Sus scrofa: one gene and its partners. The protein of the gene in region 2 purifies or fractionates together with the protein of the main gene of each other region. This does not show direct contact. Links are inferred from orthologs where the notes say so. Each region holds a gene or a part of one and is shown on either strand. Other genes may lie near its edges. The genes, in order: TNIK, NCK2 and ARHGEF7.

Region 1 (9,744 bases), on a different chromosome or scaffold from region 2:
ATTTTTGCAAAAAGGGAAATTAAGAAATGAGAGGGGAAGAAAGTATCAAAGAAAGAGAATTAAGAAGTTTCTACAACTAAAATCTCAAAATCTCAAATTAAAATATTCAAAGAAAATGAAAAAAGACTCACAAGAAAATAGCAACACATAGTTCAGTACCCAGGAAAGGAGAACATTCTTAAATCTTCCAAATTATAAATAAATAGATAAACAGTTTACAATTACATATGGAAGCCCCAGAATTAGGTGGCCTAGCACTCAGCAGCAACACTAGAGGATTAGAAGACAAAGGATCCTCCAGTATTCTAAAAGAAAAATTATTTTCACTCAGTGTTTTATAATCCATCTGTATTAGTCAGGGTTCTTCAGAGAAGCATAACCTCTAGGGTGTGGGTGTGGGTGTAGAGAAAGAGAAAAAAATAAATAAATAAATCCAGGCAGAGTATCATGGAGGGTTCCAGAAGAGGAACCTCCAAGGAAAAGAAAATGTTACTAAAGGATTACCTGCTGTATTTGACTGCATTAAAGGCGTTTAGAGCACTAACAAAGTTTGCATGTACTTAGAGATAGATACATAGAAAATAAGGAAGTGAAAAATGGAGAAAACAAGAAAGACAATATAGTAATGGTATACTGTGTGACTCATCTATGAACAATAATAATTTAAACACAGGACATTGACTTAACCAAAAATGTTACATGTAACTGTATTGGAGGTGCGGGAGAGGAAGAAATGTGTATGTTTGAAAGAGAGAACTAGAGAGAGATGATTATAAGAGTAAATCCTACTTAGAATAGATTTACAAGGAGATCCTGCTGAATAGCATTGAGAACTTTGTCTAGATACTCATGTTGCAACAGAAGAAAGGGTGGGGGAGAAAATGTAATTGTAATGTATACATGTAAGGATAACCTGACCCCCTTGCTGTACAGTGGGAAAATAAAAAACAAAAACAAAAAAACTGTCTTGGTCTGTTCGAACTGCTGTAACTGAATGTCATGGACCAGGTAGCTTATAAACAACAGGAATTGATTTTTCACAGTTCTGGAGGCTGGGAAGTGCAGGGTTAAGGCGCTGGTAGATTCAGTGTCTGGTGACAGCCCCCACCCTGGTTCACAGACAGTTGTCTTTTTGTTACAACTTCACATAGCAGGGAAAGAGGTCTGTCTGGGGTCTCACATTAAGGGCACTGGTCCTTTTTAAATTCCTGATAACTGGAATCCAAATTTGAATAAAAGCAAATGAAAGCCATTGTGTCTCTACCCATTTGTTGGTTTTTCTACCATCTTGTCTTACCAGCTCTCAGCTACATATATGTGGGTGAACATAAAAGCTAGGTAAGGAGAGCTCCCGCTATGGCACAATGGGATCAGCAGTGTCTTGGGAGCACTGGGACAAGGTTCAATCCCTGACCGGGCACAGTGGGTTAATGATCTGGTGTTGCCACAGCTGTAGCTTAGTTTGTGGCTACAGATCAGATCTGATCCTTGGCCCAGGAGCTCCATATGCCACAGAGCAGCCAAAAACACCACAAAAGCTAGGCTAGAAAACATGAAGGATATTTATACAGAGTCTTCTTACAATGAATAATTCACATCTATATCTAGTAGTTAAAGACAATCATGTATATGCATATATAGTGATTTACATCTCTGTTAATACAAAAATTTGAATAGGGAGTTCCTATTGTGGATCAGAGGTAACAAACCCGACTAGCATCCATGAGGATGTGGGTTCAATCCGTGGCCTCACTCAGTGGATCTGGCGTTGCCATGAGCTGCAGTGTAGGTTGCAGATACAGCTCAGATCTGGCATTGGCATAGGCCAGCAGCTGCAGCTCTGATTCGACCCCTAGCCTGGGAACTTCCATATGCTGCAGATGTGGCCATAAAAACATTTTTTGAATAAACATTTCTTAATTAATACTTTTTCTGTTACAGTTAAATATGAAAGGATCAAATTCTTGGTGATTGCCTTAAAGAATGCTGTGGAGATATATGCTTGGGCTCCTAAACCTTATCATAAGTTCATGGCATTTAAGGTAAGCAGGCATGTGATTTCCTAACAAGGTCCTATTTTTTAGTTTAGGTTCCCACCAGTTAACAGTGATCCATCTTTCACATAGACTAGCACCAATTTTTCTATGTATAATAAACCTCCTTAAAAGTGTAGGAACTCAGGAGTTCCGTAGTGGTCTAGCAGTTAGGATCTGACATTGTCACTGCTATGGCTCAGGTTCAATCCCTGGCCTGGGAATTTCCACATGCCACAGGCAAGGCCAAAAAAAAAATGTGGGAACTCATATTTGTTTGCAACGACTAGGTATTAGTAAATGGTATTGAGCTGGTGAAATTAAAATCTGGGTACCCTCTCCTCCATTTCAGGTCTATGCATCGTCATTTCAAAGTGAGATTTAGTATGGAATGGTTACCAGGCAAACCATTCATTGTGATCTTAGGCAATGAAATTCATTGACAGCCACCCAACTAGGTCACTGTCTGATATTTCGTCTGAAAAAGGCAGACCAACAGCAGCACTGAATCTCAAAGTTGAACTGAGTCTCTAAATCTTATAATCCTCTTAAGCCTTTTGGGTCAAGTCCCTAAAACTCACTTGATGTTCCTATATCCCCATTGCTTATTGGACTGCTCTAAAATGAATACTAAATGTAATCACGTATAGAACTGGCCTGGTTTCTCTGCATCCTTCAATTTTGACACTTTTTCATTTTTTATCTTATCTAAGTCTGTACCCACCATGGCTGGCTTGATCACTCATGAGCTTCAACAGAATTAAGATTGGGATATGCTGGTCCTGTTGACTCCAGCTCATGAAAGTTGACCCCCAAATGCCAGAAGGACCAGTATTTACAGGCACCCTGATGTTTTTCAAAGCTATACAGTCTGTCCAGAGCCAGTGTGAATTTATCTTCTGTTCATTCTTTCTTTCTGCCTACATCTCTCTCCTTATAAAATCTCCATGGCCCCCCCTTTTTCTCCCTACCTTTATGACTGTTGCCTTTCTTTGACCCATTATGTATTCTTTCTTAATGCCATGTGAGGGCAGAAGCTGCCTTGGGAACATTATGTGGCCCTCATCAAGGCTGAATCACCCCACTTCAATCTTGTTCTTAGCACAAGGAGCTCATCTGTGATGTGCTCAGGAAGATAGGTTCATCCATGGAAATGGGCTCCCCTCCATAACCCTGCTTATGGAGAAAAATTGGGGGGATGCTTGGGTTAGTAATAACACTTAAGGCCTGGCTCCTGAAAACTGAAGTGGTGCTGCTGTTCTGCCAAAATCTGTCTTCGCCAAAGCTTTTCAATCAAGACCCCGTTCCAGTTCTGAAGTTACCGCCATCCGTTCACTAGCCAAAGTGAACAGTTGAGTGCAAAATGCTTTGTTCAGCAAACCTTGCCCAGCCTGGAAAGAGGGACGAGCAAAGGCAAGGACTTGAACAGGAAAGACTGGAGCTGGCAGGGTGTCAAGCCCTGCCTTGGGACAAGGAGATGAACCTCGAACGTCCCATACTTGGGAAGGATGTTAGCATCATTGTAACATGAAGAGGGAGGGGTCTGTTAGGTGGCCATGGCATCATAGCTGAGGCACCTGTGGTTTCACAAAGACTCTCCCAGACTTGAAGGTCAATACAGGGAGAGTGTGGATTAAATAATGGCAAAAGAAAACAGCTAGCTAGGGCTTAGACTCTGGGTTCTAATACACAGAACTACAATAAACACAGCTGAAGCTCTTTTTTTCCTTGCTAGTTAAACCCAGCTAGCCAGTGTAAACCATGAGTCTTGAGATGTGCCCACCCCCCACCATCCTTCGCTATGGCCCAAATTGGAGAAAGTGTCAATCTGATGCACTCGCTCACTGAAGGATGGTCAGAACGAGAGTATGTGCCTGTTAATCCTGAACAGGCTTAGCACAGAGCCAGCCCGCTGCCCACCCAGGCTGTCTCTGCACAGACCTGGCTGTCATTGGGAAGGAGGGACCCAGAGAAGTGACTGGACCTTCTTCTTAGAGAAAAGGCCAGAAATAAAGAGGAAAAAAACAGCAGCACCCAGGCACAGGTGTTTCATAAACGATGAAGTGGCAACTGTAGACCATCTTCTCTGCCCTGGAGGACAAGGGGTAGAGAAAGGGGTGCCAAGCTCTTCCTCCTAGAGCCAGCATAGAGATAAACCTAATACTGAAAGAAATATAATATAAGTAAAAGAATGTGTATGTATATGTTTGTCTGGGTCCCTTTGCTGTACATCAGAAATTGGGACAACATTGTAAATCAATTATCCTTGAAAGAAAGAGAAAGAAAAGAAAAGAAAAAAGGAAAGAAAGGGAGGAAGGAAAGGAGGAAGGGAGGGAAGAAAGAGAAAGAAAGAAAAAGAAGAAAGAAAGAAAGAAAGAAAGAAAGAAAGAAAGAAAGAAAGAAAGAAAGAAAAAGAAAGAAAGAAAGAAAGAAAGAAAGGAAGGAAGGAAGGAAGGAAGGAAGGAAGAAAGGAAGAAAGAAAGAGGAAGAAAGAGAGAAAGGGGAAGGGAGGGAGGGAGGAAGGAAGGGGAAAGATTTCCTAGCCTTTCGGTTTAAGAAAATTAGACATGAACTTCCATAGGAAATAGCTCAAGGAAAAAATTATTAAGATAACTTCTTTGAATGATGTGAACACTCATGTGGTGATTTTTAGTCTTTTGCAGATCTCCAGCACAAGCCACTGCTTGTTGATCTCACAGTAGAAGAAGGTCAAAGATTAAAGGTTATTTTTGGTTCGCATACTGGTTTCCATGTAATTGATGTTGATTCAGGAAACTCTTATGATATCTACATACCATCTCATGTAAGTTCCTGGAAGCGGACTGTCAAGGCACTCTACAACAACCTGCATGTACAGATTTGTTTCAGCACCTGTTTAGTGGAACTCATGCTAACTTTGACTAATCAGTAAAGCAGATGGACTTTCAGCCTTCACTAAATAGATGATGCTGTTAATAAATAAAACATGTAAATTTAATTCGTTAAGGCTGCTTAAAACTGAGTAACGCATAATAGCACTTATTTGCTATTAGCTGGACATTTTGTCTCATTGGATTTTACACTAAAATGCATATCATGTTTTTATGCAAGGGTAGCATTCTGTTTTTTAAGCAAGAGCACAATAGATGAGCTCCTAGTTTCAGTTTTTGAAGGAAATAGGTTCATTTTATGTGAGAGAAGGCCAATTGTCCTTTTCTTGCTATTTGTGTTCCTCTTTACAATTTGATGTGGTGGAATCAAACCAGAGCACATACTCAGGCTCTAGCATGTTTTTGCTTTGCAATAATGGATGCATTAGGCAGCCTTTCCATTCCTCATCTTTCACATCTATAAAATGGGGCTAAAAGGACCCATCATACAGGGTTATTATCAGTATTTAATGAGGTGAAACATCTAAAGTACTTGGCACAGGGCCCTGCAAAGTGTAGTATTAATATCACTATACTGACACATTGCTTAAAACATGACTTTTAAGGGAAATGCTACCCTGTTTCATGCAGTAGGATGAATGCAGTGTAAATTCTGTTTCCTATATATATGTAATCCCAAGGCTAACTTAGGGTAGAAACCCAATCTGTTGCTGTTTGGTATATTGGGAGTTTAAAGACTTTACTCCAAAGAAGTACAACAATTGAAAAGAAGTGGTTTTAGTGCATGACACATGTCATCATTGCTGCATCACAGCTTTTCATGCTGCCATGTGTGTGCACACGTGTGTGTGTGTGTGCGTGTGCGTGTGTGTCTGTGTGCACAGAGGACTCTTGGTGAGGAGACAGGGCCATCGTGGTGATTGTCCTCATTCATGTCCACCAAGCACCTGTTGCACTACCATGACATTCTCAACCAGGGGATCAGAGCAACACCCTGTCTCTCTTTCTTGAACAAGTCAATCTACATTTATTTGAACAGTATGTGTTTTTTTTTTTTTAATGAATGGTAATTTTTAATTTTTTTTTTCTCAGTAAGCCATTAATTTGGATTATCCTCTTATTTAGCACCCAGATAAACAATCTGTGTTGAGTGTTCATAGCCTGTTTTGGTCCCAACTTTGGGCCCCACTTAGGCAACCTCCATCAGATTCCCCTGGCTTGCATTCTCCTCATCTTTTTTGGAAGTAGATAGAAAATACAAGATATTCAGTGTTCATGAGAATGTGCTCAAATCCCAATTCTATCATCAGCTTTGGTCAAGTTATATAACCCCTCTGAGATGCAGCTGTCTCATCTATAGACAAAGACATTGAGCATGGAGAGCTATTCTAAGGGCTAGAAGTTACCTATGTAAAGGGCCCTCTTTTGACACAGGACAGATGCTAGGTAGTTGTCCTTTTTGCTTTCAAGAAGAGGTAAATTGGATTCTTGACCAAGGGCCTAAGTTTGTATTTACCAGGGTATTGGAAAGGTCAGCAGTTAAATTAAGCAAAGCAAAATGTCAGTCCCTATAGTGCAACTGGAAAAAGAAAAAGGAAAACCCCTTTTTTTTAATTTTTATTTTTTGAAATTCTTAGAGATTAACAGTCAAGAGTCTGTCTTATTTTTAAAAAGAATAATGTCTGGCCTTTCTTTGTCTTCTAGATTCAGGGCAATATCACTCCTCATGCCATTGTCATCTTGCCTAAAACAGATGGAATGGAAATGCTTGTTTGCTATGAGGATGAGGGGGTGTATGTAAACACCTACGGCCGGATAACTAAGGATGTGGTGCTCCAATGGGGAGAAATGCCCACGTCTGTGGGTAGGTTAACCATTCCTTATCTCCTTCAGCAGTTACACCCCCCAAATGAAACGAAAGTCAAGAAATGTGAAACAACCATTTGATTCCACAAAAAAAAAAAAAAAAGTCTGTGAATAACACTTGTAAGACTTGCTTTGTCTGTTTATCTCAAGTCGTTTGTCATTTTTGTGGTTAAGATGTGAACAGATGCTGTGAGTTATTGCCCATCTAATGTTTTTAATGCAGTTTTGGAAATTCCTTTTGACAGCCTACATTCATTCCAATCAGATAATGGGCTGGGGCGAGAAAGCTATTGAGATCCGGTCAGTGGAAACAGGACATTTGGATGGAGTATTTATGCATAAGCGAGCTCAAAGGTTAAAGTTTCTATGTGAAAGAAATGATAAGGTAAATCCGTTTCAACATTTGCATTAGTGTTTGCATTTTAAGAGACCACCAGGTACCTGTGAAACCTTCATTTTCCTTTATACTGATTTGAATCACATCTGTGTTAAGCAATCAATATTATCTTAAAATGGCATTATTTGGTTTGATTCATGTGAACCCTCAAAATATGTTATTCACACATCAAAAAAGACATGAAAACATCTAAAACTTTCTTGTAAACTCTTAGTAACTTTTGTGGCCTGCAGGCCTTAAAATGACTCAGCAGATACCCTAAATTCTCCTAAGCACTTAGAAGAGTTGGCCCATCATTAATCACCTCACAGTGGGTCAACGTGTAGTCCACTTTTAGACTTTTCACAAAATCACTATTGGGACCTAATCCATCACATTATATTCAACTTTCAATGTAAAACATTTGACATATAGAAATATAAACTTTTTTGAGAGTGTCGCCCATTCCTCAAAGAATGAAAATCACAAACTCAACTAGTGCCATGTCCTGTGTCATTCCAGCCATGTTTCTTCAGAAGTGTTGTAGGGGGACTGTTTTCCAGTGAAATTGGCAGTGTCCATCTGGCATGATCAGTCGCCCAGAAGGGAATTCTGCAGCAGTGCTTCTCCCTTGCCCTCCCTGTAGACTAACCCAGACTTTTTAGTAGCTAAACTGTACTGTATTTGTGGATTCATCTTTTGTGACTATGGCCAACCTAGAAATGTTGTCCCCAGAACAGCAGACACAAACCTCTATAGAAAAGAATGTGATGGGTTAAACAGATGTCCATCTCTTAGCCCACGCCCATTCCTCAGAAGCCAGGCTAGTCTTAGTCCAATCCCGGAATAGCCAGCTACTCTGACCTGGTGTGGTCTGGGTGGACAACAGCTGAGCGTGGCAAGGAGGGTTCCAGGGTCTTATCAGAGGATGTTAGTAAACAGAAGTGACCCCAAGTAAAACTCCAGCTACCATCTAGTCTCTGGGGATCATAAGACTAGGAGTGATCTGAGCATGGACCCCCACATTCCAGTTCATTGAAGACCCATCCCAGAAAGCTTACTCCACACCATGTCCACACCCTCATGAGCAGGCTGGGACCACACCAATATCCAGGGTCCAAGGTTTAGAGCCAGGGCACGCAGAACCCAGAGAGAACAGCAGCCCTTTCTTTCCTTCATTGTGTTTCCATGGGTCCCCTGTGCTTCCTTCCCCATTTTAATTCATTGACCCTAACAGTAGCTTTACTTACATATGTAGCATTAGTTGAATGACAAGAATTTCCACAGAACTTCCTAAATTGTTGGGAGAGAACATTCTTCTGAAGAAGTTGTGGAAATGAGGTAGCAGAGACTTTATACTAGTGATAAAAGTAAATGCCTTGGACCAAAGTTTGGTGCTGGCTGACTGAAGGGCTAGGCCACAGCCCAGAATGTTATTTTCCTAGGGCAGTGGTTCATTGATGTTCACCTCAAGCAAGCAGTACCCCAAATTTTGCTCACTGCTCTCATCTGTTTGATAAAATGATTTAGCAGACCCAGACTTAATGGACTGTGATTCTTCTCATTAATGCTGTGATCTCCTTTGGGCTAGGCTATGCTTCATCAGCAGAGAAGCTACAAGTTAACTCTTGAAATGCCAAAGTGAATAGACATTAAACACCTTACCGTAGCTAACCAGAACTACTTTTTTTATTTTAAAAATTTATAACCAAAGTTGTATCATAGTCAGTAAGCCCCCACGTTCCCCCTTGACTTTGTGAAGTCGACAGGATTCTCTTCATTCCCAAGGTCCGCCCTCTTGTCATAATGAGAGAGCAAAGGAGAGCCCCTGCGGTTTTCCAAAAATTAACAAAGGACCTGTTGTATCCTAGACCAGAAATCCAGCATATTTTCCCAGTAGGAAACTCCCTTGTAAAATGTGAACCCCCAAAGGGTTGCTCCAAATCAAGATATAGCCCCTTCTGGGTCCCTGAAGGCCAATACCATGATAAGTAATAGCAACCACTATAGGAATAAAGGCAGAGGATGCACTGTATTAAAAGGCACTTTATAAACACCTGCCCTTGAGTCTTAAATGCTGACACATGGCAAGGATAGAACATGTGAGAGAAAATGGATGGACGGTTGAAGAAAAGAGGGAAAGAAACCATGCAGTTGAACTAACTTTTTTTTAATTTCAAACAGGTATTTTTTGCATCCGTGCGATCTGGAGGAAGTAGCCAAGTGTTTTTCATGACCCTCAACAGAAATTCCATGATGAACTGGTAACAGAAGAGCACTTGGCACTTATCTTCATGGCGTTATTTCTAATTTAAAAGAACATAACTCATGTGGACTTATGCCAGTCTAGAGGCAGAATCAGAAGGCTTGGTTGAACATACCGCTTTCCCCTTTTCCTCTCCCTCTACCCGTCCCAATACAGTCCATCTTTCAATGTTGCAGCCTGGTTGAGAAGGAGAGAAAAGGGTGGCAGGAATTTCCAGGAGATCCCCAAGAATGCTGCGTTGTCTGTGGACAAAGATGGACCATGTGCCCTTCGGAGTTAGGGATAGAAACAAATATTGTGTGCTCTTATGATTAAGCTGTGTTACGGTGGATT
Region 2 (9,568 bases):
CAGAAAGCAAACACAGCACCAAAAATGCTTTGTCTGGAAATGCCAGTTTGGGCAGATATAAAGATTCTAATTATAAAAGACAGACAGCTTTAGCTCCCTGGAAAGAGGGCTTAAGGGCATTTGGCATAAGCTGCGTGTCAAGAGCTTGGTACCTCCAGACTGTAAGTCACAGGCTGCTTATGGAAAATGAAGGCACATTTAATACAGACAAATGAGAAGAGTCACACAGCTCCTGAAAGGCCTGACCTTTTGTGTCCTCCGCTGTCTCTGCAGAGGTGAGGGAACAGCAAACCAAGACTTGTCCAGGAAATGTGTGCACTTGCAGGAAGGTGATGGCAGGAAGGTGATGGCCACCTGGACAGAGAACGGGTGATGCACACTCCAAACCACACGGGGACCCTGCCTCAGCCCGAACCCATCAACACGCTTATACTGGGATTAGCGATTCGCCCTTGTCAACCTGGTGGCTGGATGGCCAGGTGGAACCTCACAGATCCGAATTCTGATCCACCCCAGGCAGCCAGAGTCTCCCTCCATGTTGTTGAGGTTAAAAAAAAAAAAAAAAAAAAAAAAAAAAAAAAAATCATCAGGAGTTCCTGCCATGGCTCAGCAGTAATGAACCTGACTAGTATTCATGAGGATGCAGGTTCAATCACTGGCCCCCGCTCAGCAGGTTAAGGATCTGGCGATGCTGCAAGCTTCATAAGTTCACAGACATGGCTCAGATCCCGAGTTGCTGGGGCTCAGTGGAGGCTGGCAGCTGCAGCTCCAATTTGACCCCCAGCCTGGGAAGCTCCATATACCATGGGTCTGTAAAAAGCAAAATAAATAAATAAATAAATAAAAATAAAAAATCATTGTCATTGTCAATTACAACTAGAGGCCTTAAAGAAGTTTCTGAGGCCAAAATGTGTGATTGTAGCGTGTCCTTTAATTACTGTGTAATTCAGTGTTTCCGCTTCCCTGGGCACTTGTGGTCTACCGGAATTCCCACACAAGGTCAACGTGGAACCCATGACAGGGAGATGGAGCGTTGGGAGGGAATGTGATCCACGATGAGGTCTGAACCCACCTGTGTTGTCTAAGGTGATGGGTCTGCCTCACCTGCTTGGACCTCTATTCTTATGTCACTGGGTGCTCCCCACCTCACGGACCAGACATCAAACTTCTAATTCATTGTCAAACTTCTTTATATTCAAAGGTAACAACCAAATCCCCAACTAAAGACAAAACAGGACTGGCGGGTGCAGTGCTGACTCAAACCACACCCACTTTTCTGCTGCCAGAAGGGCCATTCCTCACCCCCAGCCCCTGCCCAGCCCCTCCACGGTCACCTCGTGCCTTCTCCATCTGTGCTATGGGCATGCCACAGGGCCACTTGCCGGAGCAGGAACAAGGATACACCAAAGGCACCCTGGGCACACATCAGCTGCGGTCAGCCCACGGAGGCACGACACCTGCCCTGGGCTTTGTACTCCCAGTGCCCGGCCTGCGAGTGCCCATGCAGGCCTCCTGGGCACAGGGAAGGCAGACGGCAGTGGGGAGGTGAGCTGACCTGACTGCGGTTTGCTGAAATAGTTTTGAACAGATAATTTCCAAAGAGCAAAGTTAACACGAAGTTTGAGATTCTAGATCTCTTGGAGTTGCAGGCATTAAAATTTATTATTTCAAGATACAAAAATGGTAAAAAAAGAAAACATACGAGTGATAAAGTTGTTCAAATTCCTCTCTACAAACGCTCCCTTCCAGGCACCGGGTCTTCAGTCAAGGCTGCTGAGTCAGAGCTTCGCCAAGGATCAGCACACACGGGGTCTTGTCATAATACTTTTTTATTACAATATCCAAAAAACTGAGTATACAAGTTTAGGAGGTCCCAAGACCCCTTCCTCAACTGTAGGAATGTGCCACCTCAAGACTGTATATATTTCACCTATAAAGAAGTTCAAATGTAAAGAAAAAAAGAAAACGCAATTTCTTCATAAACATTCTGTGTCTCTCACTACCGATCACATATTCTTTTGTAAACCCTGAAAAATTTCCCCATAAAGCAAATAATATATATATATTTGTGTGTGTGTGTGTGTCAAGTGTCTGTCACGCCCCTCCCCCAAAGATCAGCTGTTCTCCTTAATCATCTGGATTAGTGTCAACAAATGGCTACAGATACATATAACTTTGAGAATTAAATACATAACTGTGAAATTGAAGCAAGCTGAAGGGCAAGAGGAAAAAGCACTATGCAGATGGCACGTCTGGGGGAAATTTCCAAAACCTCCATCTTTCCACGTCTCTGGCCCCGCCTTTGTGGGCCGACTTCCCAGGACCTCTTTTCTTTATTGCAAGCGCAGCCCCAAAGGCACTGGACAGCTTCTTCCCTCCTGTCTCACCGGGGGGCCCAGTATTGCTAGGAGCGCGTGGGGTCGCCCCCCGGAGTCTGGGGCTGTGTGAGCACCCAGCACCCGGATCCAGGGCCCCGGCAGGTGCCGCCCAGAGCCAGGCCCGCCGTTGAGGGTGCTGTAGCTCAGGAGTAAGGGCAGCTTCGGTGCATTCAAACCGCGCCCGGGTCCTGAAGGGGGGCCACATGGCGTGAGCGATGTCCACAGACTAAGGCTGTTTCCATGGAGAAGGAACAGGTGAGCCCTGGGCCCATGGCCCCCTCCCCGCCTCCAGAGCCGGCTGGGGGGGCCTGGGATGCCGAAGGGGGCAGATGGAAAACAAACCGACCCGGACAGAAGGGAAACCAGGCGGAGAGAGTGGTGCAGGACGAACCCCGGGGGCCGGCTGGTAGGAGGGCCCAGGATGTGGGCTTCTTCTGGGGTGCATGGCCGGGCTCAGGGAGCGCGGAGCACCCGGTGGTGTCACTGCAGCGCTCGGACGAGGTAGAGCTTCTCCCCGTGCTCACTGGTGAAGATGGGCGCCTTCTTGTAGTGCTCCACCAGCTCGTCCATGGTGTGGAAGCGCCGCTGCCCGATGCAGTAGACATTGTCCACGAGCTGCACCTTGAAATGCTTGTTCTTCCCTGATGCTTTGAGAGACACGGAGAAGTCACTGGGCTGTGGAGGAAAGAGAACACGGGTTAGCCCCGGGCTCGGAGGGACGCCGGGCTCCGCTTCCACCCCGGTGTGCAGAATGGCCCGGGGGCCATGGAGATGCTCATGCTCTGGATCAAAGGAAAAATTACCTTGTGCTTAGTGCAGTTTTGGTGCTAAATGTATTTTAGTTATTTGAAAACTGGAGATTCCTTATGGAATGTACAGCACCAGGGTTCACCAGTGTTAATTTTTTGGTGCCCAAGCTATTCCTTGGATTTGGAAAAAGTGGCAGCAGCTAGAAATTTCACTTCTACCACTATTATTAGTTCAGCCAACAGCATGGTAGTGGCACAAAAATAAGACACACAGATCGAAGGAACAGGACAGAGAGCCCAGAAGCAAACCACACACTTAGGGTCAATTCATCTACCACAAAGGAGGCAAGATATGTAATGGAGAAAGGACAGAAGTGCTGGGAAAGCTGGACAGCTACATGTAAATCAGAGAAATTACAAGACTCTAATACCATAAACACACACCAAAATCTCAAAATGAAAAGACCTAAATATAAGACCATAACACTCTTAGGGGAAAACGTAGAACACTCTTTGACATCAATTGCAGCGATAGTTTTTTGGATCCATCTCCTAAAGCAAAGGGAATAAAAGCAGAAACAAACAAATGAGTTCCTGTTGTGGCTCAGTGGTAATGAACCCAACTAGTATCCCTGGCCTCACTCAGTGGGTTGAGGCTCCGGTGTTGCTATGAGCTGTGGTGTAGGTCACAGATGTGGCTCGGATCCCAGACTGCGTTGCTGTGGCTGTGGTGGAGGCCGGCAGCTGCAGCTCTGATTTGACCCCTATGCTGCCAACTTCCCTTTGCTGCAGGTGCAGGCCTAAAACGACAAAAAACCAACCAAACCCCCCCCCAAAAACAAATGGAACCCAATTAAACCTAAAAGTGTTTGCAGAGCAAAGGAAACCATTGCTAAAACGAAAAGATAACCTACTGAATGGGAGAAAATATTTGTAAATGATGTGACTGATAAGGGGTTAATATCCAACATATACAAACAGCTCATACAAATCAACATCAAACAAACAACCCCAATTAAAAAGTGGTCAGAAGAACTGAACAGACATTTTTCCAAAGAGGATGTGCAGATGGCCAACGGGCACATGAAAAGATGCTCAACATCACTAATCATCAGGGAAATGCAAATCAAAACCACAATGAGGTACCATCTCATACCCGTCAGAATGGCTAGCATCAAAAAGACCACAGATAACAAATGTTGGTGAGGATGTGGAGAAAAGGGAACCCCCGTACACTGTTGCTGGGGATACAAACTGCAAACTGGTGAAGCCTCTACAGAAAACAGTATGGAGGTTTCTCAAAAAAAAACCAAAAAACAGAACTATCACATGATCCAGCAATTCCACTCCTGGGCGTGTTATCTGAAAAAAAAAAAAAAAAAAAAAAAACCCACAAAAACAATAATTCGAAAAGATACATGTACTTTAATGTTCATATTCACAGCAGCACCATTACAATTACCAAGATACCGAAGCAAGAGACAGGAAGGTTTGGCTCTGATTAGGTCTTGGGCTACGTATTATTTTCAGAATCACAGCCCTTAGAGGACTGGGGGCCCGCACAGGCTGGGGAGGGGGACACAGAACCTGAAAATTATCTCCCCAACCAGATGTCTAAGGAAGGAACCCTCATGGGGCAGAGATCTTCTGAGCCAGCCCAGGAGGGCGGGTGGGGATGGGGTGTGGGGGGCCTTGGGTGGACCCTCAAAAAAAAAAAAAAAAAAAGAGAAATGACCCATCAGGGATCCTGATGTCACAGATGATCCTGTCAACCAGCCCTATCAACATCATATTCTAAACAGCACAGAAGGGTACTCTCAGTAATTGTTTGCACAATTCTCAAATCACTGTGATTATCACAGGACTGACAAACGAGATGAATGCAAGCTGGCCTCAGCATCACCATCCAGGTCAGATGCTGTGTGTGGTTCTGAAAAGAGAACAAACTCAAACAGGTATCACCCAACAGGTGCTCTGCACGTGGAAGCCCTGCCACCACTGTCACACTGCAGTCAGTTCGGTGGACGAGGGGAAGCCCTGTGTCCAGCAGCACAAACATGCCAGGACCTGCTCAGCTCTCTCCTGGGGCTTTGTGTTGTCTTGAAGCGACGTTTGGTTTTTTTTTTTTTTTTTAGGGCCGCACCTGTGGCATATGTAAGTTCCCATGCTAGGGGTTGAATCGGAGCTATAGCCACTGGCTTACACCACAGCCACAGCAACGCAGTATCTGGGCCACATCTTCAACCTACACCACAGCTCACAGCAATGCCGGATCCTTAACCCACTGAGCGGGGCCAGGGATTGAACCTGCATCCGCATGGATCCTAGTCGGATTTGTTAACTGCTGAGCCACGATAGGAAGCCAAGCTCCTGCTCGTTTTTATAAGCACATGCATTCTGTGCCTTTAGATAAAGGTCGAGGGTGATCTCGGTTTTAGAGCTTAGCACAAGCCAGGCACTGAGGTAGTTGTATGTACAGCTACTTGAATCAGTTCATCATATGGAGGGAGTAGGTGACTCAGAGCTGGTAGATCATAGACTCAATATTCAGCAAGCCCCATGATCAAGAGGACTTTCTGAATTTGCTTTTAATTTAAGCTCTTCTACTGAATGTCCTGGTGTGTCACGTGTATGTGAGTTACGGCAGTCAAACTGCTGCAGCAGAGGTGGTTTTTAATGTTAGTGGGCTCCTGAGCAGAAACATGGAACTTAAGAATGTAGAACGAACCAAGTCTGTGTCAAGCTGGGGTTCTGGAGCTTTGGGGAATTCTCAGTTCAACGTGAGTACATTTTCCAGTCGAAGCACCAAACCGCACTGTTCTGTGTTACTGCCAGACATTCTCACCGCAGCCTGATGCTGAGCTGGACGGGCGCTTCTCACGTGGGGTTCCCAGAACGGCAGTAGCACCTGATCACCGGGAAACTCGTCACAAATGCATATTCCCAGGCCCCGCTCCAGACCCACCCCTATTCGGAAACTCTGAGGTGGGGCCTGACCGTCTGTGTTTTAACCTCCAGTAATCTGTGCTTTAGGAGCCCTTGGGGAGCCCTGACGCAGTCTGAGAGATGAAACCCGACCCTGCCACCACACAAGAGATGCTAATGTTCGGAGCCAGGAGGAAAAAGATGAATGTGATTTGTGAGCTATGCAGCCCCTGAAAGAGGGAGCTCAGGGGCCAAGCTGAGCCCCAGACTGCAGGTGCCTGGGGGAGGCCGTCCTGAGGAGTCAGGCTCTCCTCCAGATGTCTCCTCTGGGGAAGCCCCGGATTGGACAGTGGGGACACTCTCCCTGCCACATCGAGCCAGTCCCTTGGACCTGATGGAGATGGGGTTGCTCCAGACCAGGAGAGCTCTGCTCCATGAGCAGAGGACCCTCAAGAAGTCCCGCCACCAGTGTGGTCCCCCAGGTGCTGTGGTCCTCCTAGGCTGGCTTCCTGAAACCTCCTTGGGGGAGTCACGCGAGCCACGCTCACTGCACTGGCGGCAGGTGCTGGCAGGAGGATCCGGTCCCCTGCCCCAACCTAAGCTTGTTGGAGAAACTTGACAGCTGTGTGTTGGCCCCCCTGAATTGCAGAGGTCCGAGGCTCACAGCAGCCCAGCACCTGGGGCCTTCGGAGCTGAGACAGGAAGCTACCTGGGGCTGTCTGCAAAGGGCTAGGCCTGGTGAGGGGGAGTGAGCCAGCACTGCCACATGGTCAAGGAGTGTCTGCAGGATTGAGAAGCTGAAGACCCGCTTTCCCCAGGACTGAACCATTTCAACCGATGCCCTTGGTTTCAGAAGAGCCTGCACAGGTGCTCCCGGGGGTGGGCTCAGAGCAGGACCAGTCACGATGGCCCCGAGTGCCAACACTCCTCACTGGAGGGGACACTTCACTGAGCAACAAAATAGATGCGTCAACGGGGACTGAAAAATCTCCCCAAGGGCAGACAAGAGAATGAGCACAGAACAGCTACCGTAGCTCACCAACCAGGCAATTCAGCAGTGGGCGGAACCAAAATGTACCATTCAGAGACACAGACACAGCAAAGAAGATGATCAGCACAAGCTTAAAGGTAGCAGTTATCTCCAGCGGGCAGTGAGGTGTAACCAGAAGGCAGACATGGGCGTGAAAGCATCTCCCAGTGACTCTGACCTGGGCCCCATTTCTCCACCCTCCGGACCTGGGTTAAACAAGCACTTCTTAAATGAAGGTTTCTGTGTGCTGAGTGTCATAATAAAAGATGATCTAAAGGTGCTGAACTTGAAGCCAGAAGACTTGGCCTGGCCCCTCACTAGTCACGGGGCACAGGCATCTGTCTTTAAACATGGCTCCAGGCTCCTGTCCACCCCTCCCCCTCCTGGCTTTGGGGACACCAATTACATGTATGTGAAATCTCACACTGGATCCTGTGAATCTCAGTTCTGTTTATTACAACAAAATATCATAAACTGGGTGGTTTAAAAACATCAGAGGCCTCCCTTGTCCTTCTGGAGCCTGGAGGTCCACAAGCAAGGAGCTGGCAGGTTTGGTGGCTGCTGAGGACCTGCCTTCTGGTTCAAAGATTGCGTTCTCTATGCCCTCACATGGCACAGGGCCCGGAGAGTGCTCTGTGGTCTCTGCTACGATGGCACTAATCCCATTTGTGAGGGCTCCACCCCTAATCCCATCACACTGGGGACCAGGCTTCAACCTAGGAATCCAGCAAGGGTGGGCGGGGGGGGGGGGCGCCGGGGTGGGAATGGACCAACATATTCTGTGCACAGCAAAGCTCTATGCTCTTCTGCATTTTCTGTCCTTTTATATTTGTGTGTATGTATCCTAAAGTCTTTCTTCCTCTGAGCTATCTTCCTGTTTACTAATCCTTTCTTCAGCTGTATTTAATCTGCTATAAACCTAATGAGTTCTTTTTTTTTTAAATGGCCGCACCTGGAGTATATGGAAGTTGCTGGGCCGGGGGTCAAGTAGGAGCTGCACATGAGGCCTATGCCACAGCCATGGCAACACTAAATCCAAGCTGCATCTGCAACCTATGCACAGCTCACGGCAACACCAGATCCTTAACCCACTGAGTGAGGCCAGGGGTCAACCTCCATCCTCACAAGAGAAAACGTCAGGTCCTTAACCCACTGAGCCACAATGAGAACTCCCCTGAGTTCTCAATTTCAGTTATTGTATTGTTTTAGTCCTACGATTCTCACTTGATTCTTTCTTACTACTTCCAATTCTCTGCTCAGGTTCAACTTGATGAATTTCTCAAACCTATTAATCCATCTACCTTATTTTTTTGTATTTTTTAAAATTATAGTTGATTTACAATGTTGTGCCAATTCCCACTATATAGCAAAGTGATCCAGTCATACATATACACTCTTTTTCTCATATCATCCCCATCATGTTCCACTCCAAGAGAGTGGACACAGTTCCCTGTGCTAATTTATACACCTTAAAGACTGCTGCTTCTTCTTCTTTTTTTTGTCTTTTGGCCTTTTCTAGGGCTGCTCCTATGGCATATAGAGGTTCCCAGACTAGGGGTCTAATCGGAGCTATAGCCACCAGCCTACGCCAGAGCCACAGCAATGCCAGATCTGAGCCACGTCTGCAACCTACACCATAGCTCATGGCAATGCCAGGTCCTTAACCCACTGAGCAAGGCCATGGATCGAACCCGCAACCTCATGGTTCCTAGTCAGATTTGTTAACCACTGCGCCATGATGGGAACTCCAAGACTGCTTCTAAAAACTCAGTATCTGTGGGTCTGTTCGACTGTCTTTTTGTCTCCCCTTTGATTTTGTCTCCTGGCATTTTTCTTTGAATACTGCATACTGTGTTTAAAAAAAAAAATCTAAGAGACACTTTGAGGTTCTCAATGGTGTTGCCATCCTCTTGGGAGGGTTTGCTCTGCTTCTATACCCAGGGCTGGTGGGGCATCTTAGTTCAGTGAGGCCTAGAACTCAATAGTCTGGTGTATTCCTAGTTTGCCTTTGCTCCCAGTATAGGAATATACTTTTGGGGGCCCACATGGAAGGTCTGAATTTTTTTGGGGGGGGCCCAAAAAGTCTACTTCTTTACTGCCTTTTTTTTTTTTTTTCCTGGCCACACCTGTGGCATATGGAGGTTACCAGGCGAGGGGTTAAATCAGAGCTACAGCTGCTGGCCTACACCACAGCCACAGCAACGCGGAATCCTTAACCTACTGAGCAAGGCCAGGGATTGAACCTGCGTCCTAATGTATGCTAGTTGGATTCGTTAACCACTGAGCCATGGTGGGAACGCCATACTGCTTTTTGTCTCAATGTTTTGTCCAGCTTTTCTAGCTGTTTTCAGCAGAAGTGCCTGTCTATAAGAAACTAGCCTGCCATGACCAGATGGTCACGTGACCCAGGGCAGGCCTGTCCAGGATTTAGTTCTCCAGCAGAGAAGCAGGAGAGCTGAATTCCTGGCTGTTTCCAGGCTGCCTGG
Region 3 (9,844 bases), on a different chromosome or scaffold from region 2:
ACCACTTTCCAGTGCGGCCCCCACCACCCAGGGCGCGCATGCTTTTCTTCTTTAAAAGAGAAAGGAGAGGGCAGACCCCTACAGGTGTCACCGCTATTAACAGAAGGGTCCCGGGACAGCAGAGACACTGGTCCCTCCCAGAGGCAGTTGCAGGCCAGCCTGCAGCCCCTCCCCCAGCCCTGCTAACGCTGCAGCACGTCCAGCCTGGCACTCAGGACAGCACTGGAGGTGGTCCCGATTTAAAATGAATTTATGTGTGCTCACTTCATTTTGAAGGAGCCAGCCAACACAGTCACAGCCATCCCCTTCTCTGGGCCTAAAACCCCAACGAGAATCACCCTGGTGCAGGGCTGAGACAGTCCTTGAAAGTCACGTGCTTCAAAAACAGATGTTTATTATTACAAAACAAACCATTCCAAAACCTTAAGCAGATTCATGAGAAGCAACTTAATACAGCCAATATTTCAGTTTGTAAACTTTGAAGAAGTCTCCTTAAAAGAACAAGACGTATGGCTTTTCTCTCTGAGTACCTCACCAGCTATTTCCAACAGAACGCTGGCCTCTCGAACCAGCTCGTCCTGAAGGCAACCCCCGACACACACCACACTGCCGCTGCTGACCACACCCTTCTCAGGGCAAAAGGGCCTCGAAAGAGGCAAACTTCTTTCCGTGGGCGCTCAGAACTACAGCCCAGCGGCCATGAGGTCTTCATTTTCCTTCCCACACCCCCGCCCCGCCCCAGAATCCTAGGACTGAGCAGAAGGCAGGTCAGGAATCCACTAGGAAAAAGCCACGTCTTCTTCCGACACAGCATCAGAATTCACCAAGATTTTCTACAAGCCCGTGGAAGATCAGTTCACGCTGCCAGATCGTAGTCTGGGAACTACAAACCACATTCTAATCCACGTGTCAGAACACGCGTCAGAGGCTGGGCAGCTCGGACGCAGGCCCCTCCAGCAACTTCTTCCTCGCTCCTTTCCGTCTACGCCCGGCTCGGACGTCTCCCTGCCTTCCATCCCACGCCGCGCTCGTTTTCAGCTGTTTTCTCCTGAACCAGCACACCCATGAGAACATGTGTCTTGGTCTCATTTTCTCCCACAGCAGCTGGTCCCCTGCAGGCAGGTAGGTCCTTAGGAAGTTGACTTGGTTCCAACTTATCATGCCACCTGCTGTGGGCTGGCTGGGACCCGGAGATGCGCACGGTCAAGCCCTGAGCCCCAGGCTGCAGAACGTGACTTTAGTTAGAAACAAGGTCGCTGCCAAGGTCATCAGTTAAGTTGAGGTCACACTGGGAGGGAGGCCCTCGTCCAGGGACTGGTGTCCTTATAACAGGATGTCTGGACACAGAGGAGACGCGGTGGGGAGACAGGCCAGGACAGAACATCCCTGCACCTGCCGGGGGAGCGCCCCGCCCCCACCTCCATGTGGGACCTCCGCCTCCAGGATGTGAGAGGCTGACGCTCGGGGGTGCCTGCTGGGGTTCTTTGCTGCCACAGCCCTGAGAAGCTAAGACACAGCCCGACAGCTTCGACCAGTCTGAATGCACATGCACCCCCAGGGTGTCCAGCAGGACCAGAGGGCGGCATCTGACTTTCGGCTGCTTTCCACTAATACCAACAGGTGGCATCTCCGGGGCCACACGTGACCGCTTACGGTGTTCTGTCATCCTGGGCAACGAGAGAAGAACCACGTTCCTTGAACATTTCACGGTGATGCAAGCAACTGCACCTGCTGCATTTACCAGTAGAATTAAGCAGCCTGGTGTGACTTCCACTATTTGACTGTGTCTCCCTAATGGTGCAGAAGCTCAGAGGGGGAATATCACTGTCTCTCAATTTCGACCTCTGACCAGCCAGTCCAGAGCTGTTTAAAGTGTTAATTCGCGGGGCTCCCTGGCTCCCGTGGCCTGCGTGTGTTTCTCATCACAGGAGGAATGACAGACGCAAGCAGTGTGGGCAGGTCAGCAAAATCCCAGCCATTACTAGACAAAGTCAAAGCAGAAGAGCCTCGTACAAAACTTGGGGGAACTAGTAACACCCCCTCCTCTCCCCACATCGTGGACAATAACGAGACGGGTCTGTCTTCTGAAGTGCTGGTGTACAGTCTATAAGCCCCTCTTGTCCTGTCGGACCCCCTGCCCCCGAAGAAAGCAGGGAACCTCAACAGAATGCTTTTTAAAATGAGCAGAACCGTCTGAACCGAGACGAACTTCCCGTTTAGTCCTCCAGCCTCTTGCCGGCCCTAAGACAGAACAAGCCAACATCGAGCACAAGACCTACCAGGACATGCTTTCTTAATAAAAGGCACATGGGAGCCCTGCGCCACCCCGAACCTTCTCCCGATTCTGCGCTATGCTCTCCCCAGCCTGAGGGTTTGTTTTAAATTTTGTGCATTTGCAAAGGTTAAGTTGCAGGCTGCCTGCACCCCGATAACCAGTCTCCTGTGTGTTGATGTGGCAAACTGAGGTCAAGTTCAGATCCTTTCGCGTCCACAGGAATACTCAGTGAGGTTCCCAAATGTTCCTTTTGAAGGAAAAACATCCTCAGACTAACATTCCAACATTCGAGCAAAAGCTGTTCACCGCGTGTGCTTTCTGGCAAACGCTATCTGCTGTGCATATACAAACATCAGAAAGTTCAAATAAATACTCTTCTGAGGAAATGGAACGGGCTCGTGAGACTTCTAAAACCCAGGGGTTTTTAGAGGCAGAGAATGGCTAATATTTTACTCCCCAAACCTACCTTTGTACCACAGAGAATGTGCTACTTTGATATTGAACTTTCATTGAGATTGTCCCTCTGAGACAAACAAGTCAGGGGCGGGGGGTGGGGCGGGGGGGTAAAAGGTTGGCTGCACTGTAAGAAGTTTCCAAATGACCAGTTTTAGGACATGTTGGGTTGTTTCCGTTGGGCTTCTGCGCATTAAACATGTTATTCACTCCTCTCTTTGTTGTTTCCGAGGTGAAAGGAATGCTATGGTTTTCTAAGAAAACCGTTCAACAATTTAAAAGAAAGTGATTATTGAGGTCTGCCAATCAATAGGCACGCAGCGAATATGCCAAATAACACATGCATCAACAATGACAGGTTTTGGTCAAATAGCCTCTGAAGTTTCTCAAAGCTTCACTCTTGGAATGGAACCATTTTTTTTACATAAGCCCATTTTGGTAAAGTTAGCCTGCATTTTCAATGCGTTTCAACATCTGTCTTTTATTACTAGAGGTCCTGATATCCAGATAACAACCAAGTATTCTGTGCCTTCAAAGTTAGCTCCTGCTCCTTATTCCTATCTTCAATCATAATTTTATTGTGACATCAGCTTCATTTAGAAGCACCATTTTTATTTCCTGGACAGACAGACCAGGGCTATTCATCCTAAAATGCAGATTCTGCTTTCCGAAATATGTTGCAAGTAAGAAAATACCTAAAACTCATATGTATACACAACTCATATCACATAAAATCTTTTCTGACCTTTAAAATGCCATGCCAGAACATGAGCAAACTTAAAAAGATTAAACATTTTACTTTTTAAAGTCACCTAATTAACATTTTATTATTAGCAAATTAATACTGTGCTGCTGGGCCGATATACTCCATTTTTCAAAGTTAAATAGTATTTCTCATTAGTCTGCACTTTAATTTCTACATTTAAACCATTTAAGTAACTGCTGATATTAAGATTATGTATTGGCAAAAAAAAAAAATTAGGATAGAATTGCAGTGTTTTTGAAGTACAGGGATCCGCCGCTCTACCCGCTCGCCCCTACTTAGTCAACGGAGCCGGAGGAAGCAAACTTGAATCCCTCGCAGAGTTGTGGTCAAGGTTCACACTCCAGCCCCGAGGAAACCACCAGGCAATAGAAGAGACGTCTCCAGGACTAGGGGCTCTGTTTAAAATCAGGTAGGAACCTGAAAATGAAATCTAGGATCTTATGCCAGACTTGAAGAACGCCGGGGCTTTCCTGCGCCTGCCATCTGGGCTTGGGGACAGGGGAATTGTTCCGCGGGGAGGGCAGCAAATCATTTCACAGCCCACCCTCGGCTATTGATAAATGCATCTTTTAAAAACGCACCGCAATCGGTCAGTTAAACAGAGGGCGAAACTCTCACACGGTACCACCAACAAAAGCTGTTCAAACAAAGCCTGCGAGGCAGCTGTGCGCGGCGCTGGAGCGGTTGGTTTTCGGCTCGGGTCGCGGAGAGGGGCGACTCCTCCTCCGGGCGGGGCAGAGCGGAGCGCTCCCCTTCCCTCCGGGCCTCCCCCCGGCCGTTCCCCTTGAACCCGGCCCGGCCCCCTCCCCGGCGGCCACCGCACACAATGGCGCCCCGAGCGGGATCCCGCCACCGGGTCCTCGCGCCGCCAGCGCGCCCCCCGCGCGGGCCGCGTTCCCGGGTCCGCGCACAAAGGAGGCGCGTGGGCTCCGCGGCGCCCGGCGCTCTCCCGGCCCGCGCGGCCACCAGGTGCCGGCGCCGGCGACCCTGCGCCCGAGCGTCTCCGCGCATCCCGGGCCGCGGCGGGGGCCAGGTGGGGCGCGAGGCCTCCCACCGCCCGGGGCTCCCACCGCCCGGACTCCTCCCGCCGGGCCTCCCAGCGCCCGGGCCTGTCCGCCGCGGGGGCGCGGGCCGGGGGGCACTCACTTTCTCGATGGTCCCGGGGAGCAGGCGCTCCAGCAGCCTGCAGAGGACCACCCCATCCTTCAGAGACGCTTGCAGGAAGCCCTCCGGGTCCGAGATGGTTTTCTTGGGCGACTCCAGCACCCCCAAGGTAATGAGCCACGTAACGGTCTGCTCGGCGGAATTCATAGCGGCGGCGCGCCCGGCCTCCCCGCGCCGCGAGCCCGTCTCGGCGCGGTTCACCTCGGAGCGGCCGCGGCCCGGCCGGCTGCGCCCACCGCCCCCTCCTCCTGCTCGCCCATGGAGAGGCCGGCGACGGCGATTGGCTCGGGCGGCGCCGCGGTCCGGCCGGCTCGCGCTCCCTCGCGTGCGTCCTGGCCGACTGTCAAGTGCCTTTTCATTAGATGCACATGAACCTGCGGCGGCCGCCCGGCGCCGCCCCCGCCGCCGCCTCCCGGCTGCCAGCCGCTGCCGCCGATGACATCACTGCGAGGAGAAGAAAGACGCCGCGCTGGAGCGGCCCCGCGCCCCGGCCCCCGGCCTCCCGGCCCCCCGACCCCCGGCCGCGCCGGCACCCGGCTGCCGCACACGCGCCCCCGCGCCCGCCCGGGCCCGCCGCCGTGCGCCCTCCGCACCCGGGCCGGCTGTGCGCGCGCGTCCCCACCTGCGCCGCCGGGTGCTGGGCCCCCGCCCCAAGGGCCCGGTGACCTCCAGGAGGCGACAGCCCGCCGGCCGGGGAGGGCTCGCCGGGCCTCCTACCCTCCGGGCCGCGCGCGCCCGTAGCCGTTGGCGCCCGGCGGGTCCCCAGCGCAGCCCCCTCTGAGGCGAGAGCCCAGCCAGGCTCCTCTCGCCGTCGGGCCCTTCCGCCGCCTCTTCCCTCCTCGGAAGCCCCGGAATCCTTTATCTTCTAATTCATGAACGTTATTTTTGCCAGGTTTTTTTTTTTTTTTTTTCCCCAAGAGGTTGGGGGCGGGGGGAGCTGAAAACGAGACGTTTGCTTCTCTCAGCTACCTTGCAAGCCAATAATTACCGAACACAACGATAATTAAATCTGTGACCAGATGGGCCTAATTCGGGGAGGAACTGATTTTCCTGAGGCTGCTGCCATCCTTGGGGACAGGGACGCCCCGGAGCGTGGCGCGGCCGGGGTCACGCGTGCCCTCTGCTGGGAGGCCCGTCCGCGTGCGTGACCTCACCGGCCGGGATGCGGTGGTCCCACTCTCCCCGACCGGAAGCCTTGGAGCCACTCGGCTTTAACTTGATGGCGCTGTTTCAGACACTGTGGGAGGAAGGTCAGGAACACAGCAGAGCCTGAACTGGATCTGGGCAGATGATCCCGGAGGAAGGACGGTGAGGACAGCTCACTCAGTCCAAACAAGCAACCTGGCTGGACTGGCCCTGAGCAAGAGGTCTCAGTCAGAGACCTGGCTGCGTCCGAATGGGCCAGAGCTGAAGAGCTCAGCCGCCCAACTGCTAAGCCACGAAAAAACTTCTTCAGAGGAGGGCTGACACACACCATCTTCTAAGGAAGGGAGCGTCTCTCCTTGGAGGGACCCAGTGTGCACTTTGCCTGTTTGCGGGCTATGACTGCCCGGGGCAATTTAAGACAGCATTCGCAGTCACCTACAGAGAACTTGCTCTGTGCCAAGCACATATGTTAATGCAATTGGTGACAAAGGCCAGAAAACACGAAGATTAAAAAAACCCACAGGCTTAGCTCACCTCTTCCTCTGCCTTCTTGCGGAGTCCTTCTTTTGTAATCATGAATTGTGTTTATTCCCAGCTTCGAATTAAGTGGTTAAGTTTTCTTTCCGAATGCAAACGCAGAGTGATTCAAAGGGCAGTCTGAATTCTGGGTTATAAGGGCCATGTGCACGGCGGTCACAGCTCCCCGCATTGCGTGGCACAGTCACTGCGACAGTCTTAGGAAGTTCCTCTCATCGTCCCCATTTAGCAGGTGGCAAAGTGGCAGAGGTGGACTCAAGCCTGGGCTCTGCAGCTCCAGCACGGACACAGCCCACCCGTGGTCCAAACCTCGCCCTGTACACTTGCTGGGAAACTGGGCAGTTATCAGCTCCATCGAGTGTTGTGCCCAAGGAGACTCTATCACCAGAAGGGTGTTGAGTCGAGAGTAGCTGTTCCCCGAGATTCCTGTTTGCTCTCATTACTGCCGAATTGCAAGAGCGGAAGGTGCAAACTCCCCACCTGGACCGTTGGGCGTGATGGTAATGCTGCTATGTAGCTACGGGGGGGGGCACGTCACCATCTAAAAGCCACTGGCTCAACATGTGTGCCACGCTGAAAGACAGGCCCCTAGCCCTGCAGGAGGCTGTCCCCAAGCTGGCTTCCTACAGGTGTCTACCCAGAAGGTGGGTTGCTTCTCCCTCCAGGATGCAGGGCTCTGCCCTAACCAACTTGCCACCAGCATTGGGTTAGAAGCAGCCTCGGCCGTGGGTGAGAGGGGGTCCACGCTGCAGGTCTCTTGCACACCTCCATCCCCGCCACCACGACCGCACTGTCCACACCGCCCATGGCCCTCTGTGCAGGGCGATGGCGGGGCAGGCAGAGCCTGGCCTGGCTGCCCTCAGCTACAGACACCACCTGAGCACCGGTTGCCAAGCGCCCCTTTACTGATGCTCCCTGAAAGATTGAGAGGGGATCACAGGCCCTTCCCTACTCCCTGGCAACCCCTCATCCCATCTCGCCCCTTCCAGACCCCCACTGAGGAGCCCAGCCACCCAGCACTGCCCACACATCTGTGCACAGAGGCGGTAGGCCAGCTTCTCCGCCCTGTCTGCCCTTCGCCCTGGCAGGAGCTGGGCTGGAGCCAGGCAGCAGGCCATTGTTGGTTCACATCGAATTATCCAGCAAACCCATTCGTAAACCACGTCCAGAGGCCCTGGGAGTTAAGACTTGAACCTACCTTTGAGGGGAGAAAGGTCAACCCACAAGCAGGATCGTGGCTCGGAAACACCCACCAGAGGCCGTGCTTCCTGTCACTCGACATCAGAGCAAACGCGAAATCTCAGGGTGTCTCTTGCCTCGGCACCAGACTCGTCCCAACACACCCATGACGGGTCCACCGTCATCCTCACTGGTCCCAGCAGCCGTCCGTAACCCCCTCCCAGGTTCCAGACTTCGGGTGGGGTCGGGTGGGGGGACAAGCTTGACAGTCCCTGGTACTTATCCCTGGAGCCCTGTTCGTGTCAGCTGTGTGAACCGTTGTGTTGGACAGGCGGTAAGTGCTAATTTTCTGCGTTTACCAGTTTTCAATGTCATGACCCAGCTTCCTTCAAAGGAAACCAGTGATTTTTTTTTTAAGTTATCATGATGAATTCATGGATTTTGAAAAATATATTTCATGCATTTCAGTTTATTTCCCTCTCCCAAGTTTCTCATTTGTGTCCTTGTTGGGAGCTGTTAGTCTGCGAGGCTCTCACATTTCTGAATATCTGAGCGGAAGTAGTGACAGCTTCTGTTCTACCTTTTCAGGAGTGTTCGGGACCAAACAGCCTTTCAAAGATGGAGACATGGTCCCCTCCGAGGCAAAGGACGAAGTTGATTGCTGACCAGCAGGTTGAAAATAACAGCAAAGTTGGAGTTCCCATCATGGCACAGGGGAAACAAACCTGACCAGTATCCACAAGGATGCGGATTCAATCCCTGGCCTCACTCAGTGGGTCAGGGATCCCGCATTGCCTTGAGCTGTGGTGTAGGTTGTAGACACAGCTGGAACCCACGTTCCCAGCTGGGGCTGTGGTGTAGGCCAGCAGCTGTAGCTCCAATCTGGCCTCCATATGCCGCAGGGACGGCCCTATGAAGCGACAAAAACAAAAAGAAAAGCGAGGCAAAGTGTGGGTGGGCTCACTGAGAGTGCCTTTAAAGATCGGGGCTTGTAAACTGGGGCTCCTCTTCCTCAGCCATGACCCGTGCGTGCCCCCCGCCCCAGCCCAGCCGGCACTGCCTTGGACTTGGGAACAGGGGGTCCTGGTGGGAACCAGGGGCCGTGCTCTCTGCTCGGCTGAGTCACATGGGCCTCGGTCTCTGGCCCTGGGTCCTACGCCATCTGCCAGCAGCAGTGAAACTTGGGCTTGGCCGTGTTGGCTTTGGCGTGGGCTGACGCCCAGATCCGCCGTGGTTCTTCCCGCTGCCTTTGCTCATGTTCCAAGAGGAGGGATTAGTTACCCTTTTATTTATTTATTTTTTTTTCTGAACACGGCTTTCACTCTGTCCCACGAGGTTTCGTTGTTGTTGTTCTTGTTCTTTTTTACGGCTGCACCCGCAGCACCTGGAAATGCCCGGCCGGGAACTGCATCTGAGCCTGAGCCACAGCCACCTGACCTTTGCCGCAGCTGCAACAACGCCGGCTCCTTTAACCCACTGCGCGGGGCCAGGGAGTGAACCCACACCTCCACTGCGACCCGAGCCACAACAGTCGGGTTTTTTTTTTTTTTTTGGTAGCCTTGTTTTTTCAATATTATTTTTGAGTATTTATTTTTATTATAGTTGATTTACAATGTTCTGTCAGTTTCTGTTGTATAGCAAAGTGACCCAGTTTTATATATGTGTGTGTGTGTGTGGAGAGAGAGAGAGAGAAAGAGATTCTTTTTGCAGTCAGATTCTTAACATCCTGCGCCACAGGGGGAGCTCCCCATGGGTTTTATTAGAAAGTACTTCCTTCTTCATTGCTTCCAAGGCGATTTGCACTTTTCCTTGATCCGCTCTTTCATAGGAATGTATCTCTTAATGAACAAGAATTGAGCGTTTGTTGGCCACTGACCATGGTTAGTCAATGGAGCCTTTAAATCTCTGCTTTTCAAAGTTTGCTAAGATTTAAATGTCCCATGAACATACAAGGATGAATACGCTTGGCTCAAGAGATTATATGCTTATATTTATTAGGTAAGGTTTTTGTGCTATATTTTAAAAAGACCTTTTTACTCCAAATAATTTTAGAATAAAATTATTTATTCTAAATAGGTTGCAAAAACAGTCCAGAGAGCTCCCGTGTGGACTTCACACAGCTTCCTTCGGTGAAAACGTCTCACGGAGCCGGAGGGCAGTCCAGCGAGGGGGCTGACGACGGTATAAACTGCAGACAGTGTTTGGATTTTGCCGGGTTTCACAGGTACCTTCGTGCTGCGTCTGTCAACTCCAGCCGGAGTCACCACCACGGGGTCAGGCTCCGGAGCTGCTCCCGTCCCCTGGAGTCTCACGCCGACCCCTGA

Evidence for each region.
Region 1: the proteins of NCK2 (region 2) and TNIK purify together in Homo sapiens (affinity purification with mass spectrometry; 3 studies listed by BioGRID and IntAct, counting the BioPlex papers as one, with this or other methods). This does not show direct contact. The link is inferred for Sus scrofa from reciprocal best matches to the Homo sapiens genes NCK2 and TNIK.
Region 3: the proteins of NCK2 (region 2) and ARHGEF7 purify together in Homo sapiens (affinity purification with mass spectrometry; 3 studies listed by BioGRID and IntAct, counting the BioPlex papers as one, with this or other methods). This does not show direct contact. The link is inferred for Sus scrofa from reciprocal best matches to the Homo sapiens genes NCK2 and ARHGEF7.

Annotation. Positions count from the first base shown.
Region 1 is NC_010455.5:109,647,997-109,657,740, reverse strand, and holds part of TNIK (TRAF2 and NCK-interacting protein kinase), read left to right. Parts: intron 1-1,941; coding exon 1,942-2,042; intron 2,043-4,686; coding exon 4,687-4,836; intron 4,837-6,607; coding exon 6,608-6,767; intron 6,768-7,014; coding exon 7,015-7,154; intron 7,155-9,329; coding exon 9,330-9,413; 3' UTR 9,414-9,744. UniProt on the Homo sapiens protein: Serine/threonine kinase that acts as an essential activator of the Wnt signaling pathway. Recruited to promoters of Wnt target genes and required to activate their expression. May act by phosphorylating TCF4/TCF7L2.
Region 2 is NC_010445.4:49,062,176-49,071,743, forward strand, and holds the end of NCK2 (cytoplasmic protein NCK2), read right to left. Parts: intron 3,054-9,568; coding exon 2,859-3,053; downstream 1-2,858. UniProt on the Homo sapiens protein: Adapter protein which associates with tyrosine-phosphorylated growth factor receptors or their cellular substrates. Maintains low levels of EIF2S1 phosphorylation by promoting its dephosphorylation by PP1.
Region 3 is NC_010453.5:77,422,537-77,432,380, reverse strand, and holds the start of ARHGEF7 (rho guanine nucleotide exchange factor 7), read right to left. Parts: upstream 5,030-9,844; 5' UTR 4,806-5,029; coding exon 4,641-4,805; intron 1-4,640. UniProt on the Homo sapiens protein: Acts as a RAC1 guanine nucleotide exchange factor (GEF) and can induce membrane ruffling. Functions in cell migration, attachment and cell spreading. Promotes targeting of RAC1 to focal adhesions. May function as a positive regulator of apoptosis.